2 linked regions of the Caenorhabditis elegans genome follow. The protein of the gene in region 2 purifies or fractionates together with the protein of the main gene of each other region. This does not show direct contact. Each region holds a gene or a part of one and is shown on either strand. Other genes may lie near its edges.

The links.
Region 1: the proteins of glod-4 (region 2) and pab-2 fractionate together in Caenorhabditis elegans (co-fractionation; one large-scale study listed by BioGRID). This does not show direct contact.

Annotation. Positions count from the first base shown.
Region 1 is NC_003284.9:13,519,803-13,530,831, reverse strand, and holds pab-2 (Polyadenylate-binding protein), read left to right. Parts: upstream 1-5,008; 5' UTR 5,009-5,012; coding exon 5,013-5,343; intron 5,344-5,366; exon of another isoform or gene 5,367-5,573; intron 5,574-5,735; exon of another isoform or gene 5,736-5,737; coding exon 5,738-6,050; intron 6,051-6,097; coding exon 6,098-6,860; intron 6,861-6,909; coding exon 6,910-7,158; intron 7,159-7,204; coding exon 7,205-7,627; 3' UTR 7,628-8,570; downstream 8,571-11,029. Other genes in the region: F18H3.4 (Lebercilin domain-containing protein), read right to left, coding at 1-155, 278-515, 571-643, 693-862, 1,412-1,549, 1,599-1,730; F18H3.1 (SPRY domain-containing protein 7), read right to left, coding at 9,432-9,548, 9,736-9,819, 10,042-10,196, 10,268-10,384.
Region 2 is NC_003281.10:4,146,977-4,157,831, forward strand, and holds glod-4 (Glyoxalase 1), read left to right. Parts: upstream 1-6,622; 5' UTR 6,623-6,624; coding exon 6,625-6,711; intron 6,712-6,757; coding exon 6,758-6,928; intron 6,929-6,974; coding exon 6,975-7,325; intron 7,326-7,373; coding exon 7,374-7,610; 3' UTR 7,611-7,674; downstream 7,675-10,855. Other genes in the region: ABC transporter ATP-binding protein/permease wht-3, read right to left, coding at 478-618, 664-730, 804-922, 969-1,152, 1,564-1,836, 2,430-2,680, 2,935-3,318, 3,649-3,835 and 3 more; har-1 (Hemiasterlin resistant protein 1), read left to right, coding at 5,081-5,183, 5,236-5,372, 5,485-5,709; C16C10.9 (uncharacterized protein), read right to left, coding at 8,412-8,492, 8,543-8,620, 8,671-8,757, 8,820-8,889, 8,976-9,055, 9,107-9,184, 9,388-9,474, 10,141-10,404. UniProt on the Caenorhabditis elegans protein: Thought to act as a glyoxalase. May remove methylglyoxal from mitochondrial proteins. Has roles in reducing oxidative stress and increasing lifespan.

The DNA of each region.
Region 1 (11,029 bases), on a different chromosome or scaffold from region 2:
ATCATCGATGAGTGCTGGCGGTTGAGTTGTTGCTGGTTTGACTATTTCATCTTTCTGTAAAGTTGTTGGAAGACGCTCTAAGTACTTGATAAGACGATTGCAATCCCGTTTTTGTTCGTAATATGGTTCCAATTCCTCCACATCGATTGGCGCTTCTGAAAAAAAAATTGTCTTAGATATTGTGAAATGTGAAAGTTCTAGTTGACCAATTTCGAATGCATACGTTTCGGTCTCTGACAACTGGAAAAAAATGATTTCGCAACCCAATCCGACTTACTTATTTTTCGTGCGCTTGGGAATGACATTGGCACGCTATTGCCGTTCAGTTTGTTGTCGTTCAGCCAGTTTTTGTATTCCTCTCTGTCATCCTCGTAGGTGGATATCAAAGATTTGCGGCGGGAATTTGCACCTTGTAGTTGATGCTTGAGGTCCCGGATCTCATCTTCAATGTGTCGCCGCTCTTGCTTCATTTGCTTAAATCGGTTCTGGCAGCTAGTGAGTTCAAAGTAGACTTTCTGAATTTGATGGGATGAGTACCACAGTCTCTTTTATCATTAATAATATACTAACGTGTTTCTGTATGCGATTCTTCTCCAATTCCTGATCCATTCCTTTACGATGAGATGTGATTTCAGCCAATGACCTGAAATCATATCGCTATATTTTTTCAACTAAGAACATGAAAATCGTACTCCAACAACTTTTTATTTCTCTTCAACGCATCGATTTCCGTTACTAATGCCTGTTCATCGCGAGCCGACAGGTTCCGCTTGTATCGTTCCTGATGCTCCAGGAGCAGGCGATCTAAATGATCTTTGTTTCGGATGCGGCAATCGCGCTCCAAATCCAACTGCTTTGTTCTCTGTAAAAATTTTAATGTACAGTTTTGTTTCACAATGATCACTGCACAAAGGCATTATTCTATTATTAATATTTATTTTATCAAGTTGAATAACTACAGGTTTTGTTCTCAATATTTGTAGGTCACAGTAAATTTACAACTTTATTTGTAAAAATCTATTGTTTTTTTTTTTAATTTGATTAGTTTATATTATTGTTCCATGTACATCGTTTGATACACAAATTTTACAAAGAAAAAGCTGAAAATCCCAGATATTTTCTATTATTTTGATATTAATTTTAATTTTTTCAGCATCGTTGTTTTACAAAAAAAAACCCCCAGAAGCATTTAGACTTTTGTACTACTCAGCCTGGATTGCAAAGACGGTTTTAAACACACAAGCGTTGACCGCATTGTATGCTCTCAGCTGTTTCCCTTCGGCTCGCATTAGTTGTTCAGTGCGGTACCAACGCGTAACTGCCCAGTTTAAAACACACAGTTACTTTTTTGTAATTTTTTCAACATTTCAATTGGGCAACTATTTGCATCATTTTTGCTTCATGATCTTACCTGGCTATCAATGTTCACTTTGATCTTATCCCCGTCTCCTTTCAACTGTGCAAGATCAACTCGGAGTTGGTTACGTTTGTTTCTCATCTCGTTTTCAAGTGGGTTGGCATCTAGGCATGTTTTGCATCGCATTTGGATCTAGCAAATTAATAAAATTCATAAGAACAATTCTGAAATTGAATCCAACCTGAGATCGAATCTTTCGAATTTCCGAGTGGAACCCCTCCAAATCATTTTCAAACCGTTGACGATCTGGTGGGTTTGTACCAGTCTTTTCATTAACTTCTATGATATCATCTAGTGGTCGGTTCTCATGCATTTCTTTCCTATTACCTAGAAAAAAGAACGAATTGGGCGAATTGTGGATTTGAAGAATTCCTGACAAGAATAATAAACACATATGCAAAACCAAAAACAAAGGTTGGAGAAGCGATCCTTGAAGAAAAGATGAAAATGACAGTGAGAGAAAAGATAGAAGAGAGGAGTTGGGAGTGATAAGGCAAAAAGAAAAAAACGACGAAAGTATGAATAGTGAGGAAAAAAGGAGAAAAAAGTGCACTTGTGTAGGTGATAGAAAAAGTGGAGTTTGAAACGGCGCGAAAATCGGTTGATCAAACAGTTTTATCACGTGGAAAACCCCGGAGAGTGACCATCGAACCTTCTGGCGGAGACTCCGATTATTTATCAAGGATGATTCATAGCCACTTTGATCAGTATTAAAGTTTGCAAGGCCAGAGTAGTCTTTCTTATCAGATGGACGGAATCTTGTGTCTCTATTGTGGTTTATGCACTCGGTAACACATTCTGATTTAGCTATTTGATTCTTCAAAAAAAATCTATAAGAAAAAAAATATATAAAACACAATCTAATCATTCAAAATGACATACTGTTTTAAGAACACAGTGATTTATGTTGAAATGTTTTGATGAAAATGATTGTTTTTTATCAAGCTGAATAACAAAATCTAAAAAGCCAATTGGTAACCCGCCAAAACCATTAAGCTAGGATAGACCAAAATTTAATTGAAGCAATAAAACTTTAAGAATAGTGTAAGTACGCCTTGATTAGAAAGCCTAACGCTGGTCATCAAGTTCAATTTCAATGCAAACAGCGATAATTTTTTAACTAACTTGTCTCTGCATAACTTAACGTCTGAATACTTCGATGGACTATTTTAGGTGCTTCACGTTTAGTTGTAGACTGAATAATTGTATGAAAACTCAATACTCACATCTGAAAAACTATTGCAAGCCAGTGAAAAGGTGCAAGCTTTGATTTTTGCATCATATCTTCAAATGCGAAATCAGTGAAATTTTATACATATGTATTAGATATGTATCTCAATTTGGTTTATAGTTTACAGAGCCTACTAGCAAAATAGATTGGAAAATCTGTAGAAATATATTTTCTGTTTCAAAAAACTGAGGCCACTACTCGCAGTCTCCATGAAAACTAAATCTGACCGCCTTAGTCCTATTGTGTCACATTACACAACCCTTAGCAACATGTTTGTTCGCAAATTAGTGATATGAGACAGTTGGAGAAGCGCAGACATTGAGCGTGTGAACATTTTCGAAAATATTCGAAACAACTTGGCACGGGGCGCCACACTGATTGAAAATACTGAACATTAAAATTCGAAAATCAATAAACAAGTGTCCTACGTTGCCTTATCCAAAAATAAGAATGGAAGACTATCGTCAGGTCTTGTGACTTCTCAGACTTTTTATGGAAGCTTCCCCGGTCCCTCAGTCCTTATCACACGTCACATATAACCAGCAAGCCAAAAACACATTGCAAAAGAGGAAAGAGAGTGAGAGAAAAGAGACATAGAGATAGCCAGAGACACACACATAAACCAACGGACACCAACGCTGCCTGTTGGGGGCAGCAGCAGCGTTTTCGCTTCCCCTCCAACCGCCCATACGGACTCTGCGTATCACATCTCTCGCTTCTGCTGCGACCTCTCTGCGTAGCGTGCTGAGCGACGCGGACGGACTAGGCACACACACACGACTGACACGTCTATATTGTTGTGTCCCGGAGAGACTATCTACCCCTCCACTGTAACCTTTAAATTCCCCAAAAAACCCAAAAAAATTAGACTACTTTAATCAAAAACTTCAACAAAAACCAAAAAAAAAACTCAACATCAACTAATATTCTTGCTGATTGGAAATCATCACCTGCAAACGAACCAACAAAGAAGTAAGTTTTTTTTTGAAGTAAATATGTAGAAATGCTTGAATACTCATCAACCAAGTTTCAATAAACCTGTCCTATCATTATCGAACGTCTTTCAGCTCTTCCCATATTCAGACTTAGCAATAAGTGTTTCTCACTTCTCTGTAAATTTCGCAATTATCGAACAAAAACACCATATGACGGAGACTGCAAATGATAAAAATAGGCAAAATAGGGCCCAGAATCACATGTTTCTATACAATAACATAGGTGTCCTTTTCCTTGCTCGCTATCATTCTGTTTTCCAATTTTGTTTCCGTTCGGTTCCAACACGTCAAAAATTGAAAAACGAGGGCGCCGAGCGAGAGCGAAGCAGCCATAAAACCGTCATGTTTATATGTTGTGGCAGTTGAAGAGAATGCATGAATCATCTCACTGGGCCCCTCATTCGCTCCTCTCCTTTCGCCGCAGTCCGTTTAGTTATTGTCGAATCATCACCGCCACCAATCATCACAACACAGCCGCATTCCTTGTCCTGCTTCTCTAGCGGCTCAGATAATATCAATCGTCTTCTTCCTCCGTGGTGTAAGGAAGAGGGTGAGGCTTGTGTCGACGACAGTAGATCCTGAACAGATAGCGAAGAATAGTAAGGGGGAGGGAGATCAAAAACCAATCAATTCGATAGGCGATTGTCAATACACGAGTGAATTAGAATCATCCATAAAACTATACATTTTCTACAGTATTCTCTCCCACTCTTTTTGGTTTCCTTTCCTGTTAATTCGTTTCACTCTCTTCTTCTCCTCTCTCGGTTTTTTCTTCTTCCGCAAAACTATTGTCGCTATCTGTTGCGCCTGACGCGATCGTTCGTCGTCCCCTCGCTCCCGAGGCAGGCCCATGCTGCAACAGCAATATATCTATATATTCAATAGACGATAAAAAGCAGCGGGGCAAAAAGAAGAAAAAGAGAAAGAGTGTTGGCTGGGCTTCTTCTCCTTGTTCACTCCCGGTTTTCCATCATTGACTCCGATGTTTTTTTCTTTTCCTATTGCCTTAGCATCGGATGTTTCACATCCTAATCTTTTTACGTTCGACTTTCCATGTTCCTTATGGATTTCTATAATCTCGTAAAAATACAGTAGAAAGCAATTTTCATGCCCATTCCAACACAATAAAGATACGTCGTTGACACGCCAGGGCATTTGAGCATTGCACCCAATTTCCACTCCATTTATAAATGTGGGCGAAAGATGAGGAAAGGAGGGCTGCACGCCTTTTTTCTTACTTGCCTTCATTCACGCCTTCCCTTGTTCAGTCACTTTAGTTTCTCCCATTTTGCTCATTCTTATGTGAATTTGGTTTCACAATACATTTTCCTGCTCTCGTCCTTTTAGCAATTTTCTATTTTTCAGTACGATGGCCCAAGTTCCACCGCCAATGACTCAAGTGGTTACCAGTGCTCCACCACCGACCGCAGCAGCAACCGTCGTCGCCGGTGCAGTTGCCGGACAACCACAAGCCGTCATTCAGCAGGGTCCACCGCCAACAAACATAGGATACCCGCCAAATGCAACCTATTCGATGGCTTCACTCTACATTGGTGATCTTCATCCCGATGTTTCAGAGGCTATGCTATTCGAGAAGTTCAGTATGGCGGGACCGGTGCTTTCAATCCGAGTGTGCCGCGACAATACCAGCCGCTTGTCGCTCGGGTATGCCTACGTCAACTTCCAGCAGCCTGCTGATGGTGAGTTTGCATTTTGATTAAATTCAGAAATTTTGTGAGATAGCTCTTTAACATCTGAGACGCAATGCACAGCGAAAGGGAAGATTGTTGTATGCACAACAGGGGACGTTGTACATATATCACATGAACACACCAGTACCAAACCGTGCTCTCTCACCTCGCAACAACAGTCCCCGTTCTGCTCACACATCTCTCTGTGCAGAATTGCGCAATAAAGAGAGCCACTAGAAGAGTTGCCACGTCACAGTATGACGTAGTCTGTGGGAAACAAGTGTTTATAGAATGCATACCAGGTGCTAGAAAATTTGAATGCTTGTTATATAAAAATGAGGAAGACAACTCATAAAAATATGTTTATTTCAATTTATCACATGGAATATAATAATTCTTACAGCCGAGCGCGCCTTGGACACTATGAACTTCGAAGTCATCCACGGACGTCCAATGCGTATCATGTGGTCCCAACGTGACCCTGCTGCTCGCCGTGCCGGAAATGGAAACATCTTCATTAAGAACTTGGATCGTGTCATTGACAACAAGTCCGTCTACGACACTTTCTCGCTTTTTGGAAACATTTTGTCTTGCAAAGTTGCCACCGACGATGAAGGAAACAGCAAAGGATACGGATTTGTTCACTTCGAGACTGAGCACTCTGCGCAAACTGCCATTGAGAAAGTCAATGGAATGCTTCTTTCTGATAAGAAAGTGTAAGTTTACCCTATTGAGTTGCAAGTTTAATCGTTTAAATTTTCAGCTATGTCGGAAAATTCCAACCTCGCGCACAACGCATGAAGGAGCTTGGAGAGAGTGGCCTCAAGTACACCAACGTCTTCGTCAAGAACTTCGGCGAGCATCTCGACCAGGAAAAGCTTTCCGCAATGTTCTCCAAGTTTGGAGAGATTACTAGTGCCGTAGTGATGACCGATGCGCAAGGCAAACCAAAAGGTTTTGGATTTGTCGCTTTTGCTGATCAGGATGCCGCTGGTCAAGCTGTTGAAAAACTCAACGACAGCATTTTGGAAGGAACTGACTGCAAGCTTTCAGTCTGCAGAGCTCAAAAGAAGTCTGAGCGTTCTGCAGAGCTCAAGAGAAAGTACGAAGCTTTGAAGCAAGAGCGTGTCCAGCGTTATCAAGGAGTAAACTTGTACGTCAAGAACATTGAGGAAGATCTCAACGATGATGGTCTTCGTGATCACTTTTCTTCCTTCGGAACAATCACTTCTGCTAAAGTTATGGTTGATGAGAACGGAAGATCGAAGGGATTCGGTTTCGTGTGCTTTGAGAAGCCAGAAGAGGCAACCGCTGCCGTCACTGATATGAACTCCAAAATGATTGGAGCCAAGCCACTGTATGTGGCCCTTGCTCAACGCAAGGAGGATCGTCGTGCTCAGTTGGCATCTCAGTACATGCAAAGACTTGCAACTCTTCGCATGGGACAGCAGGCCAGCGGAGTTCCAGCAATGACTCAGCTCTACCAGCCAGGACAACAAGGATACTTTGTTCCAAATCCAATGAATGTACGTTTCTACAAAGTTAATTCAAATGTCTTAATTTCTTAATTTACAGGCTCAAGGGCGTCCAGGATTCCAGCCACAATCTGCTCAAATTCGCGGACCACCAGGACAACGCGTGTTCCAAAACCAGATGTTCATGCAATATCCATTCAATCAGCGCCAAGTTTACCCACAACAACAGGGACGTCCACCAATGCGAACCAACGATGGTCGTCCACAATATGGAATGGCTCCAAGACCAGCCGGAGCACCACGTGTCGGAGGACCTGGAGTGCAGATGGGAGGGGCACCTATTCGTCAAGTAAGCTTTAATCCAGATAAAATGAATACTACTCTCTATTTTTCAGCAAGGACCAGCCCCACGCGGAGCACCACAGAAGCCGTTCTACCAAGGACCACCACGCCAGCAACAACCACAACAGCACTCCCAGCAACCAGCACAACAGCCAGGACAACAAGGACAAGGACAATCCGGAATCGTTATTCACGGACAGGAGACTCTTACCTCCCATATGCTTGCTCAAGCTGCTCCACAAGAGCAAAAGCAACTTCTCGGAGAGCGTATCTATGCTCTTATCGAGAAGATGTTCCCGAACCACAAGGAGGCCGGCAAAATCACTGGAATGATGCTGGAGATTGACAACGCCGAGTTGATCATGATGCTCCAAGACGCTGAGTTGTTCAGAAGCAAGGTCGAGGAAGCCTTTGGAGTGCTCACCAATGCTCAGAGTGCTGCTGCTTCTACTTCTGCTCCAACTGCTAAAAACTAAGCTCTCTAACTTCATCTTGCATGCCAAGGTCGTAATATTCTCTGATATTCAGAGCAAAAATTGTTGGCTATACTTTTTGGTACTGAAAGCAGTATTCATTCTGCATTTCATAATTTCTCATCCAATTTTTTTACCTTCCCATTTCCTATTGTACTTTCTTCAAATAATCTTACAAAAAACCCCAAAAAAATTTAAAAATCTGGAGAAAAAATTAAAAAAAAAGGAAAAAAATTCAAAAAATTCAAAAAAATGCTTCTATTTTTCTTTATTTCAATTTCACATTTCTTGCTTGGTATTTAAAATTGTCTTGAACTGCGTTGAAGCTGATTTCTTTAACGAATGTGTATAGTTTCATCTGAAAATCCCTAAAAAAAAATATTTTTTCTTTTCTGGTCCTCTCTCTTGTCTCACTTCAATCCAATTCAACATTTATGTGTACTTTGTTACTTTCTCCAGAATTTCGGTGTTTTTTTTTTTTTCATCAAAAACTTGGAAACCTAGAGATTGCAACTAATTTTTAACATGGTAATTTGTTCGGCCTTGTAATGTACTCCGAAGCCCAAGCTCAGAACAAATCGTCTCACCCCCGCCAGCCAGCAATTTCATTGAAATTAGATGCTTCTTTCTGAATGCTTTGATATTTCTGTGCAACAATGTGCAACTTTGTCATTTCCCGCCTAATAATATGCTCTTTGTGTTAATAAGTATATTCCCACTTATATAAGTTATTGCAACTCTCACCCCTCCCCATCCTCCCATAAAACCTAAAATTTTTCTTTTGTACCCCAATTTGTACCCACATAACAATTGATACATCCATTCTGTGGTTTTTCCGATATCCCAACATCTTATCGTTTTCCCCAGAATTTTTCTAATTATCATTATAATAATTTTGTTGTAAACTTTTTGAATTAAATAATGATAAATGTATCTATAAAAGGAACTCATCTGTTCTATTTTCAAAATTACTTTCAAAATGCGGAGAAACACTCAATAATGGTGACCTGATATTTAATAACAACAGGATTACTTGAATATAACAAAACATAATGCGGCATCAAAAATCAATTTTCTTCAATTTGATCAATTTGCAAAAAATCTGAACAAGTTCTTACCTCTGAACTCTGAACTTTGAAAATGAATATCTGACTTAAAATGAACTTTTTGAAAATGTTTCTTCGGGGACTTGTTTCAAATTTTAAGCGCTTTCAGAATTTAATAACAAAATTTTTCCAGGTGCCAGAAGTTTTAGGTTCAATCCAGAAAACTGAATTTGAGCCATATAAATGACCGCATTTGTTTATTAGGAGATTTATTTAGTTTGTGTAACTTTGAAAATTAATATCTGACTTAAAATGAACTTTTTTGAAAATGTTTCTTCGGGGACTTGTTTCAAATTCTAAGCGCTTTCAGAATTTAATAACAAAATTTTTCCAGGTGCCAGAAGTTTTCAGTTCAATCAAAAAAACTGATTTTCAGGATCAATTTTAAAGTTATGAAATGTAAGTAAATATGAAAACAAATAATCGGTTATATTGCATCTAAAAAAGTGCGGTCAGCCACATGCCTAAAATTTCAGATTTTCTGTTTGAACTGAAAGTTTGTATTAAGTTAGTATTTTTTACTCTCCATCACGGAAATTGTAACTTACAATTTTGAAGTGTTAATTTCAATACTATTTGATAATAATAAGAACATATTTGTTTAGATTAAATTAAGGAGTTTCAATGAAATTCAAAATCATTATTGACAAGTCACAAGAGCGAAGGAAATCACGGTCAATGGTTTTAAAATCAGGCAAGATTTATAGAATAGTTTGTTCCACGAGAATTTCTCCGAATCCCGCTGGTGGAGCTTCCGTGAAGTTTTTGAATTTGAGATCGAGAATTGCTGAGTCGTCAACATACACCATAGGGTAAACCTGAAAATGATAACAATTTCAATAAAAAAATTGATTAGGAAAATTGTGGTTTGTGTCCAAATGGTTGCATTCCAAGCCAGGGATCATATTAAAAAGTTGAGCGCAACGAATGAATATTGAATCTTAATCTTATTAGGCACTGTTCCTAAGTGATTTCTTAATCCCTTCAAATAATCTCTTGGCATACCGGGCCTCGAACTCCAGTTATCACATCTTCCACTGCTTTTCCGTTTACATAGAACTTGAGCTCCACGTGGTCATATGCAACACCCTGAAAGGTTGAGTTTTTAACAGATTTACTTGGTAACAAATAGTTTAATACTTTTGTTTTTTTTTCTTTAAACTTCAAATTATATTTGAGTATTTGCAATCGTTACTTGAAATTGTATCACATTATTTGTATTCCATTGTAAGACATGTTAAGCTTTAAAAAAAACTAGCAATTTGTTTTGAAAGTACGAAATAATTCCATTTTTCTGCTTATAAAACGCACCACAACATCTCCTTCCTCCACAGTTTTTGTCATTTTTGCCACGACCTCATTTTCCTTTGCAATGTCTCCATTATCTCTGATTCCCCAAAACTTTTCAGTGCATGGGACTTTGTCGAATGGTGATTGCTTTTGTCCTAAGCCTATTCCCCATGTTCCTGAAAATAAGACATTTGTACTTTTTTAATTTCATTTGAGGAAACACTAGTTTTGAAAAACAAAAACTCACCGGTTTGTTGAACTGTCACTTGGAAATATGCTTTGTTTTGCACAATTGGAACAGTTGCAATCGCTCCTCCAATACCGCAAATTCGTTCTCCTTCTTTGAGAATAACTACATTTTTACCTATAAAAAGTTTAAAGTTCTTTTTTTTTTGCTTTTTTTTACTACATAGCGTATTTAGTAAAACATACTCATGTTAATGAAACTTTATCTGCTGGATTGTTAAAGGTGGAGTAGAGTCAAAAAATGTTTTGCTTTAAATGGCAGAAAATAGACCCTAGTGACCGAATATGACTGTGAAAAATATTAATAAAAACATTTTTCAATTTTTTATAAATTTTTTCAATTTTTCAAAAGTCAAAAAAAAACGCCAAAATTAAGTTTAAATTTCCGCGCAAATGAGAGACGTCATTTTTGATATTCTCACGTTTTCTGGCTGAATGCTAAAGTTTTTTTTCAAGTTTTTTCTCTGTATTTGGCTCTGTTTGTCAAATTTTCCAACATTTTTCCAAAAAAACCATATATAAAAGAATAATCAAGAAAAATCGACGAAAACGCGAAAATACCAAAAATGAAGTCATTCATTTCATTTTTGAGAAATTGAAAAAATTTTTAACACTTAGTTTTTTTTTTAAATATTTTCATTAGGGTCTATTTTCTGTCATTTAAACGAAAAAAAGTTGACTCTACTACACCTTTAAATATTTGTTTAAAGTGTGAAGATTTTGGAACGTGAACAAGCCAGCCAACTTTAAGTTCAAAACCATA
Region 2 (10,855 bases):
TTTTTTTTTTGCAATTTCAACTTCAAAAACAAAACAAAATTCGTGTTTTCATCATGTCTTTCTCGCGGGTTCATATGTCGCAACACTTTTTTCAATGTTCTCCATCAGTTTTCCCCTAATATAATGTTTTTTTTTGCAATTTTTCTTTTAAAATCTGATCGTCTAGATGCCTTTTCTTTGTATGTTTTTCTTTTGAAATTTTCTCTCTTCGTATCCCAAAATCACATCACATCCCCTTTTTGACATTCTTTCTATGCACCCACACTAAACAAAAAAATTTCGATAAAAATTTTAAAATTTGATTTTTTGTGTTCAATTTTCAATTTCAAATACAGTACTGATTTTGGTATCGGATTCAGGATAAAAGAGCAAAAAGTGACTTTATCTGCAGCCGACACCTCAGGGGGGGGGGGGTTTCAAACAAATATATATTAAGAGCTACAAAAATGTTCAGCAAACAAGTTCATAATAATAAAATCATCGAGATAATCGAATTCGAATGAAAAGTGCAATATATCCAGCCAAATAGAAAAAGATCACAATTGAGCAGAGTCCAATAACATCCAATTGATAGTTGTCTTTGTTGAATGAGAACTGTTTCAGAATCAATTCTCGATACTGAAAAAGGATTAAAGTGGCATGTGTCACAAAAATAGAACTTACGAAAGGATCCCATTTCGGATTGTCCACTTGAGACCACTGATTCACGACGAGTCCTTCGAATCCATATCTGAAAATTCATTTGTCGTGAGTACGAAGCCGTTCAAAAGCGCATACGCCTAGAAACGGGCAAAATTTCTAACCTACACCAACTAGTCCATTGCATCCACCGAATGTAAACTGGAAAGTTATTCGTATTTCCATATAATCCACTCAACAGTGCAAAAAGGCCTGATGCTGGAACGGCAAAAGCAATTGCCAGCTGAAAAAAAACATGTGTTTTGAAAAATCTGATGTTAAAAATTTACCGAAGTAGTCTCGAATAGACAAGCCAAGAAGAGGCCACACGAAGTGGCAGACTGCTCGACGAGCACAGAAATTAGAATACTTTTAGCCACTTGTTGCCAAGTACTATTCAATCCAATCATCCAATATGATATTACAATCATTAGAGCTCCGTCGATTGTAAATAATGGGAGATATGACAGAAATCTGAAAGTTGAATCAGATTTATCAACTGTGAGATGCTCTTCTTGACAACGCAAAAAACCATTATTTGGGCAGAGCCTAATATTGATTTTTTTAATACTTCGTCTTTAGTTTCGTACAGTCACAAAATGCCTACTATAAGCTCTACCTACTACCAACGTGAATCTTGCTCTATTTTTTTTAACTGAAAAATTGATCCAAACACGGGAATTTGCGTCAAATTGCAGAAATGGGCGGTAGGCAGAAAATAGGCACATAGGCATGCAGTGCTAACCATGGAAGCATTGTTTTTCATATGCTCGGATGTTTTACTACCTATCAGTGCACTCAAAATATTTAGTTTTCAAATAAACGTATAGAAAAACTTCCCATATCGTGTCATGTTTCCGTACTTTTCCACTTTTCTAAACTAACCTCGAAATATAATAACTAATTACATAAAACAATCCATCATGATATTCTCTCGCAATTAATGGAAGTTCATGTTCCATAAATGTCATAATTCCAAACATCGTGGAGAAAGTGAGCTCCGCAATTAGAAAATAAAGAGCACTATTTGTGTTCCGTACTCCTCGAGGATCAAGTGGTTGTTGCCAATAAAGAGATCCGATGAATAAGCCCATCACCACTTTTTGAATTAGTTTCATTCGCATTTGAGCTGGAGAACGGATCACATCGAGGCAAGCTCTGAAAAATAATGTTAGAAGCAAATCAAATTTTTATTGCACCATTGGTTTGCAAAGAAAAGCGTGCATCATCATTTACTATATATAAAGCGCTTATTCTGTGTGTCCATAGTTTGTAGTCTATGTAGTCTTTGTAGTCTGTGAAGTTTTGACTTCTGGAGGGATAGTGAGTTGGGGTTAGTGTAGGGATATAGTCGGGGTACTGTAGTGGTACAATAGTGGTACGGTAGGAATACTGTAGGGTTACGGTAGTTTCATAAAAATTAATTTTCAGCTCTAGAAGTCGGGGGCCGCGCCGAAGGTGCGGACCACAGCTGGTTTTTTATAAAGTGCAATCGTGGTAGGATTTCCAAACAAAATTTTGGCAACTTATAGTATCTCGGGTCATTTTATAGATATCAGAAAATGTTGAACTACAAAACTATAGAAAAATACATGATAAATATTTTGTCAATTGGCAAAATTTCGAAAAATCAAAAACAACTGAGCTATGGGATGTCAAAGTTCAGCAACAGTTTGTGGTTCAAACATGGTGCATTTCGTAGTTTACCATAAAGAAGCGTGCTTTAACTATTATTTTTCCAGATAACCAACCTCTTTAACAATGCTCCAGTTTCGGCAAAAAATCCTGGATTCTCTATATATGGAGGTAGCTCTGTAGTCGCAATCACACGTATTTCCACTATAGATTTCTGATGAATTATCGATTTTTCATAAAATTCAATAATTTTTCCAATTGTTTCTCGACTCTTTGTCTCGTTGTTTGGTATCACTGACAATTTGGATTGTATCCATTCAGGTGGATTGAATAATTTCGGAATTGGATGGCCACAGTCAGCGAAAAACTGGAAAAAAGGTTTATTCGAAAATTTGTAAATTCAAATTATAGTTGGGTATCCGAACAATTCGATTTTCGATTCAAAATTATAGGCAGATGAGGGTCTCCACACGACTGAAACATTTCGGTATGCGCCTTTGAAGAGTACTGTACTTTTTCGCAGATTCCACATTCACTAATATTTTTCTGAATCCTCAGTTTCGGTCGTGCCAAGACCTTTTGGCGTGCGCCTTTAAATAATTTCTTAAATTTCAAAATTACCTTCACGGACTCATGAGGTGTTCCCATAAAAGCGGTTTTTCCCATCGACAAGAAAATAATTTTGTCAAATTGAAAAAAGAGCTCGGCAGTAGGTTGATGGATCAGTGTTCGACCGGAATTCGCGAGATTCTTCAAAATTTGTACAACACTTGCAGCCATAAATGAATCAAGTCCAGACGTTGGCTCATCAGCAAAAAGTAGTGATGGATTGGATAATAGTTCACAGGCAAATGTCAAACGACGGGCTTCACCACCGGAAATTCCTTTTACGAGTCCAGGTGTTCCAATTTTCAAATCTCGACAATTTTGGAGTCTCAGCATTTCAATAATCTCATCCACTCGTTCTCTACGTGTATGTTTATTGGCTTTCATCCGAAGTCTTGCCTGAAATTTTTGGGAGTTTGCGCGTAAAGTTTGATGTATCGAGTAGGCGCTGACGCTTGATCTTCAGAAATCGGGAGTTCTGGAGATCAAACACTGTCTTCTGATTATTACAGTTTTAGGTCTTGAAACGGTCAAAGTATTCTCAAATCAAAACTCCAGAAAAGAATGCGCGCCTCTAAAAGGTTACTGTACTTTTCATTCCGTATAGTATTTTTACTTGAAACTACGGTATTCTTTAAAGGCGCACGTTATTTTAGGTGACATTAATTCAAAAAATGTTATTCGTGCCAAGACCAAATACTGTATTTTCGTGCGAAAAAAAATGCTGACCTGGATCATTAAATATTCATCAACAGTCAATGTTGGAATGAAAATCTCCTGTTGTTGTGCAAAACCAGAAATCAATGAAATCTCCTTCCCGATCTTTGTTCCATTCACTTTCACGGTTCCATTCTTCTCCAATCCCTTCATATTCCTGCACATTAGCACATTCATTAGAGTGGTTTTTCCTGCTCCGCTGAACAAAATTGCTTCATAACTATAACTTCATAACTATAACATAACTAAAGTTTTACCTTGCACCCATTAATGCCACCATTTCTCCTGGCTTTGCTATTCCCGAGACTCTATTTAACAGTTGCTTCTGCTTTTTGGAAAATAGCTTTTTCCGAGTTTTTACCCTGAAATATGAAAATATTAAATTCAAACACCCGCGTATTTCTCAGAACTACGGTGTGCAAGCGGTGTTTGCGTACCGCTGCGGAATGCATCACAGCCTACGCGCAAATCATCATCATTTTTATCATTTCTTTCTCGAATTTTCTTTGTTTTTTGATCTTTGTGTTGAAGATTTGTTTATATTTTACAAAAATTATGACTTAAAAATTAGTAAATTGCTCTGGGCGTGTTATGTGATGTTACTATTCGTCAATTTTCCAACTTACTCGATGTTTTCCCACGTGACTGTGATGGGCGTCACCACTTCCGTCAGCTGAAAAATGTATTTTACTTCGTTGCAGCAATTATGTGTATTTTATATGATTTAAACACATTTCTTCAAAGATATATTTGTTGATTTCAATTTACAAATGCATTTCAGACCGAAAAAATACTAAGAATCTCCTCTTGAGCTAAACTCCACGTTTTCAGCTTTACACAACATAATTTTACCTTTTGGCTGCTTGTATCGATTGATTCGTACCCGGCATTCCATCTTTTTCTTTCCGCTAGTAAATCGAATGGCATTTTTGTAGGCATTTGACAAATAAACTATTTGAATTGATTCAATTTTTAATTAAAAATTATAGAAATGAGTAGATTGTTGATTTTCCAATCTAAATTTTATCATCACGGATACGTAAATTTTGAAAATAGAAAAAATAGTCTTACAACGCTTTTATTACGATTTTTATTTGTTGTAAAATGCATAATACAAACTTTGAAAAGCTTGTATTTATATTTAATGATTCTAATATGATTTCGCTTGATTTAGCTCAATTTTTTGTTTCCCTGTCGTATTTCGCAATCTTATCTCTCATCACATTGAACAGACAAGTGATTTTTGAACTATTTCGTCACTACTCGGACAATATAAATGCTCTTCGAGACTAGTGGAGGCTACAGAGTTCCTGATTTCTGTCATTTTTAACTAAAAAGTTAATTTAGAATGTTTCAATTTATTCGAATATTTTATCTTCTGGCTTTTTTCGTTCACAGTTTTAATTATTTGAAATCTTCATTGAAATTCTATCAATTTCAGAAAATGGTTCGTCGGCGCACTGCTTCCCCATCTCCATCGGCCCCAGTTCGATCGGCTCCACGTCCAGCCGCCCAGTCATCCTTCGCCGCTCCACCACCAAGACCAGGTAAAATTTAAGCCATTATTTTTTTTCAAAAACTCTTAAAATAATATTTCAGCCGCCGCTGCTCCAGCTTATCATCCACCAGCAGCTCCAACTCCAATGGGAGCCCCAATGGGTGCTCCATCTCAGGGACCAGGATTGATGAAGCAAATGGCTGCAACCGCCGGAGGAGTCGCCATTGGATCCGCTGTTGTGAGTAGTTTTATTTAAATATATATATATTCCCCGGATTTCGAAGCTAACCTATTTCCAAGACCATAATTTGGGAAACACTTAATTAAAATATCGAATTCTAAAATTCCAGGGTCACGCCGTCGGAGGAATGTTCACCGGAGGCGGTAGCTCTCATGCCGAGCAAGCTCCAGCTGCTGCTGCTGCTCCAGCCGGTGCTCCACAAGCTTCTGGCTACTCGCAGCCATGCGAATTCGAGTGGAGACAATTTGTGGACTGCGCACAAAACCAATCTGATGTTTCTCTGTGCAACGGATTCAATGATATTTTCAAGCAATGCAAGGCCAGATATGCCTAATCACAGTTCCCCCGTATAGATATTGAATTAAGTGAAAACGTTTAGCATTTGGTGGAAATTGATTATTTCTCTCTGAAAACTCAAATTCTACTTTATGGTTATCGCTTTCAATTTGACTTTTTTCCTTTTTTTTGTCGTATTTAGCTCCCTGAATTCCAAATGTTCCGTAGTTTTGTTCTTTTTCAATTTTCCCCAGTTTTCTGTTCGCAAATAAATTGACTCGTTGTTTTCTTGTTTTCCTCGCAGTCTTTCGCACTGATTTTTGAGGTATTTGCCATGTTGTTTTTATATTTTCTGGTTCATTCGCGATTTTTAAAAAGCAAAAAAACACATCAATGAGCGCGCGGGTCGGCCTCCAAACACTCACTATAAATACTGCAGAAATCGCTTCATTTTATTATTCCTCCGCTCGCTTTTTCTCTTTTCTACTGCAAGATTTTTATCGATGTTTCGTTGCTATGCATTTTTAAACTCCCCGAGATTCAATTTTTAATCTTTCGAGAAAAAATAGAGTTTTCAATAATATACGATAATTTCTTATTAATTTAGAGAAATATTAATTTTTTAAAAAATTTAAATCGATATATTTTGAAAAACTATAGTTTTTTCGCCATATGGTATATTTTCCGTTAATTTAATCTATCTTTTCAGTAACTCACAATATTCTCCTCCATATTTATTTTATTGAATATTCCAAAATTTAGAACCCATATACTTTTAATATTTTTAGACAATTTTTAAAAATATAAATATACGGGTACGGTAGCTTCGAAGCTTTGGTCGTTTCGAGACCCATTATTGTATTTGTACTTGAATTTCCTACAGTAATCTTAAGTGAGCGCGGCGAGACCCATTCATTTGAGTGAACATCCCTTGAAGTTAATCGAAAAATAATTGTATTATTATTCTCCAGAAATGACAGCTCGCGCTCTTCACTACGTCTTCAAAGTGGCGAATCGTGCCAAGACCATCGACTTTTTCACAAATGTTCTGAATATGAAAGTGAGTATTCACATAATTTTTATTTAAGCTGTAAATTAACTCTCAGGTTCTTCGCCACGAGGAATTCGAAAAAGGATGCGAAGCAACTTGCAATGGACCATATAACGGACGATGGAGCAAGACAATGATTGGATATGGCTCAGAGGATGAGCATTTTGTTCTAGAGATCACATATAATTATCCAATTCATAAGTATGAGTTGGGTAATGATTATAGAGTAAGAAAGCTTGAGTCTTGATATTATTAATACAATTTTATTTCAGGCAATCGTCATCGATTCTGATCAACTCTTCGAAAAAGTCGAAAAAATCAATCATCGTAAATCTGGATGTGGAAGACTAGCTGTGAAGGATCCAGATGGCCACGAATTCAAGATCGGAAAGGCTGATCAATCGCCAAAAGTGTTGAGAGTTCAAGTGAATGTTGGAGACTTAGAGAAATCCAAGAAATATTGGAATGAAACTCTCGGAATGCCGATTGTTGAGGAAAAGTCGAGCAGAATTCGAATGAGCTATGGTGATGGACAGTGTGAGCTGGAGATTGTGAAGTCTCAGGATAAAATTGATCGAAAAACTGGATTCGGAAGAATTGCATTCAGTTATCCTGAAGATAAGGTAATTGTTGATATTTTCTATTAAAAATCTAAATATTTAATTTTCCAGCTCGAATCTCTCCAAGACAAGATCAAATCAGCCAATGGAACTATTATAAACGAGCTCACAACTCTCGAAACTCCAGGAAAAGCCGATGTTCAAGTTGTGATTCTTGCCGATCCAGATGAGCATGAAATCTGTTTTGTTGGTGATGAAGGATTCAGAGCTCTCAGCAAAATTGACGATAAAGCCGAGTCTGAGCTCAAGGAGCAAATCAAAAAGGATGACAGCGAGAAGTGGATCTAAATTTTGTCATTATATTTTTATTTCCAATGTATTTTCCTTATATAAATTCGAACATTCCTAGAAATTATTGTAGTCAATTTTTCAGAAGTTTCAGGGAAGATCTTTTCATTCACTTGACCACCAGAGAAAGCAATAAAAATAGGGATTTTTGAACAATCTGGAAATTGAAATTTTCTTTGTGTTTCAAAGCATGTTAAACCTTGCTTTTTCTGAATAAGAATGCTCTTCTTGGCTTCTACATGTTTTTTATCACAGCTGTTTTATTACGGGAATACAAAATTCAGAGAATGCGTATTGCGCAACATATAAGACGCGCAAAATATCTCGTAGCGAAAATTACAGTAATTCTTCAAATGACTACAGTTGCGCTTGTGTCGATTTTTGAAATTAATTTATTTTCGATTAGTGACAGCGATATTCCTTTTTTTTTGCTTAATTATAATATTCTATCCATAAATCAATGATTAAAAAACATAAAAATCGAGCCCGTAAACCAACCGACACAAGCGCTACAGTAGTCACTTAAAGAATTACTGTAGTTTTCGCTACGAGATATTTTGCGCGTTCGCAATACAAATTCTCAGAACTTTGTGTTGTTAATATTTATACTTACAGTCTATCGTAAAAAATCTGAAACTTTCGTCATACAAAATTTCCGATTTTTTTAGAAGCATCTTCAGAAGTACGCAGGTTTCCAAAATATACTTAAATCAAGATTAAACTCATTAAATTTCGCTCAAAATATATTTTATTCACTCAATATTCAAACATTCCAATGGAAAACAAAAAAAACAATAACATTTAAAAACGCTTCAGATAAATTCCAAAAGCATCTCGAATTGAATCAAAGAAACGTTGATCAATGTTCCGAAGGTTTCTCCTCTGAAAAATATAAAAATTAATTTCACAAAAATTCAAATTTATTTGCTCACCAATCTATCCACCACAATTACGTCAAAGCTCTCGGCTGTCCATTCTTGAAATCCTAGTTGATGCATGAGAATGCAGAACTGAAATTTATTGATCATGCAACAGGCTGATACCCTAGCATCTAGCTCACTTTAATCAGAAACTGTGGAGGTGCAGGTGGTGTCCCGTGTTTCTTGTGAAACAAGTTGATGTACTGAAACGCCTCGCCAAGGACAACCTGGAAATAAAAAGAAAAACTTTCAAAAATTAAAAATATATAATAATTTAATTTAAATTTACCTCAAACTGTCTTTGTGACTCTTCTTTTTTGACGAAAAAATCCGGACCATTTCCCATTTCGAAGCGACTACTGAAAAAAACATTTTTAAAATTTTCACTCTAGAAATTAATATTCAAAAAGTGGGTTCTTCTGAAAATAAAGTTTAAAAAACATACTAAAATTCAATAATTGATTTCAAAGAAGGATAATCCGAGATAGTCTTGATGGCCGGATAGTTTTCCTTTATACGGAGAGTCTAGAAATTCAATTCTTAATTTCAGCTTCTCATAAACTGAAAATTCAATACCACAACGTTACCAAGCTGTTGCAGATAAATCGGGCCCATTCTTTGACAAGTCGCCTGTTTGTACAAAAAGTAGATTGTCTGAAAATTCAAAATTTAAAACATAATAGTTTTTTTGGAATTTTTTAAATTGTACATCATTTTATATTAATTTTTTCCAAGGTTTTCTAAATATTAAACAAACATTTAAGAAAATTCTAATTTTCAATACCTCCGGGGGATTTTACAAATAGTTTATGTATTCGAGAGTTTGGAAAATTGGTAAAGTATTATAGAAAACTTACACTACTGTAGAACACGGGCGGTGGCGGTACCACTTTATTTTTGAGGAATTGGAAATCAATATGTTGCACGACTTCCTCTTTTAAGAGCTGAAAAATTTTGTAACTACATACATATATGTATTCCCTATTTTGCTTCCCAGAAATATGGCAGTTTTCAAGTTACCTGATTTTTCTAAATTTTATATGCAACGTTTTTCGGTGCTTTTTTGTCATATTTTGAATTTTTCATCGTTTTGCGATATGTTTTGTTTTTATGAGCTTATATGAACCTATCAGAGGTTTCCCTACAATCAGATGAAAACGTTGTTAGAACGTAGTACGTAGGCAAGTAGGTAGGCACTTAGACAAACAGGCAGGCTCCGGACAAAAATATTAAACTTCTGCGATAAATACAAAGACTGATATTTCATTTTCATCGCAAAAACCTAACCACAAAAACCACAGCTTTCAAAAAACAATTTGGAAAAACCGGGCCTATACCTGCCTGCCTAAGTGCTGACCTATGTGCCTACATGAAGCCTACCTAATTCCCCTACCTGCCTATAGTTCTAGAAAAAAATTTAACTGATTCTAGACGAGCCTTTCTCAAAAAATCGCCAAAAGTAACAGAGTGCTAATAAATGCAAAAAAAACATGTTTTTGGAGAAAAAGCTCTACTAGATTTTTTAAAAATTATTGAAAAAAATCGGAAAAACCGCGCCGCGTGTTTGCAAGCTACGCCCCGCCTCCGCTATCGGCAAGAAAATATCATACCATCATATCACTGATCAAATAAACATCTTCTCCATACGGAATCAACATTCTTTGAATATCAATTGACATTCTTCTAATATACTCTTGCCTCTGCTCAACAGATTGTCTGATTGCAACCATCAATTGTGGAGATGGAGCAATGACACGATTCTGAGTATTTTCTTGTTCAATTATCAAATTGTTCACTTCACGAGTTATCTGCCGGTCTTTTTCTTTTTGATTGTTACGGGTGTCTAAAATGCAAACGATTTCGTCGTCGGACATGGTGCAACGGACCTGAAAGTCTCTGGAAATTAATTAATGGAAGTATGAAAGTCACGCAAAGGAAAGTAAGAGTATTTCAGTAAATAAAAATAATATTAATCGTCAAGAAAAACATAAAAATTGGGTTAATGTGAAAGATTATTCTAAAAATTGGGTTCTGTGTAAAGAAGGTAGTTTGATATAAGCAATCTTGAAGGAGGTGTCACTTTTTTCCGCATTTTTTGTTTTTAAAAGAGCTTTAGTCTGATGAAAATGTTTTATTTTGTTTATTAATTAAAAAATACATTAAGATTTTTTTTTATTGAAATTTTTTTTGTTGAAATTCGAAAATTCCGAAAATTTCAGATTTCGAATTCCCCAACTTTTTATTTTGGCAATTTTCCTCCATTTATTGAATATAATTTTTTGAATCGACTTTTTTTCCTTACAAACCTTTAACTACAGTCCCTCT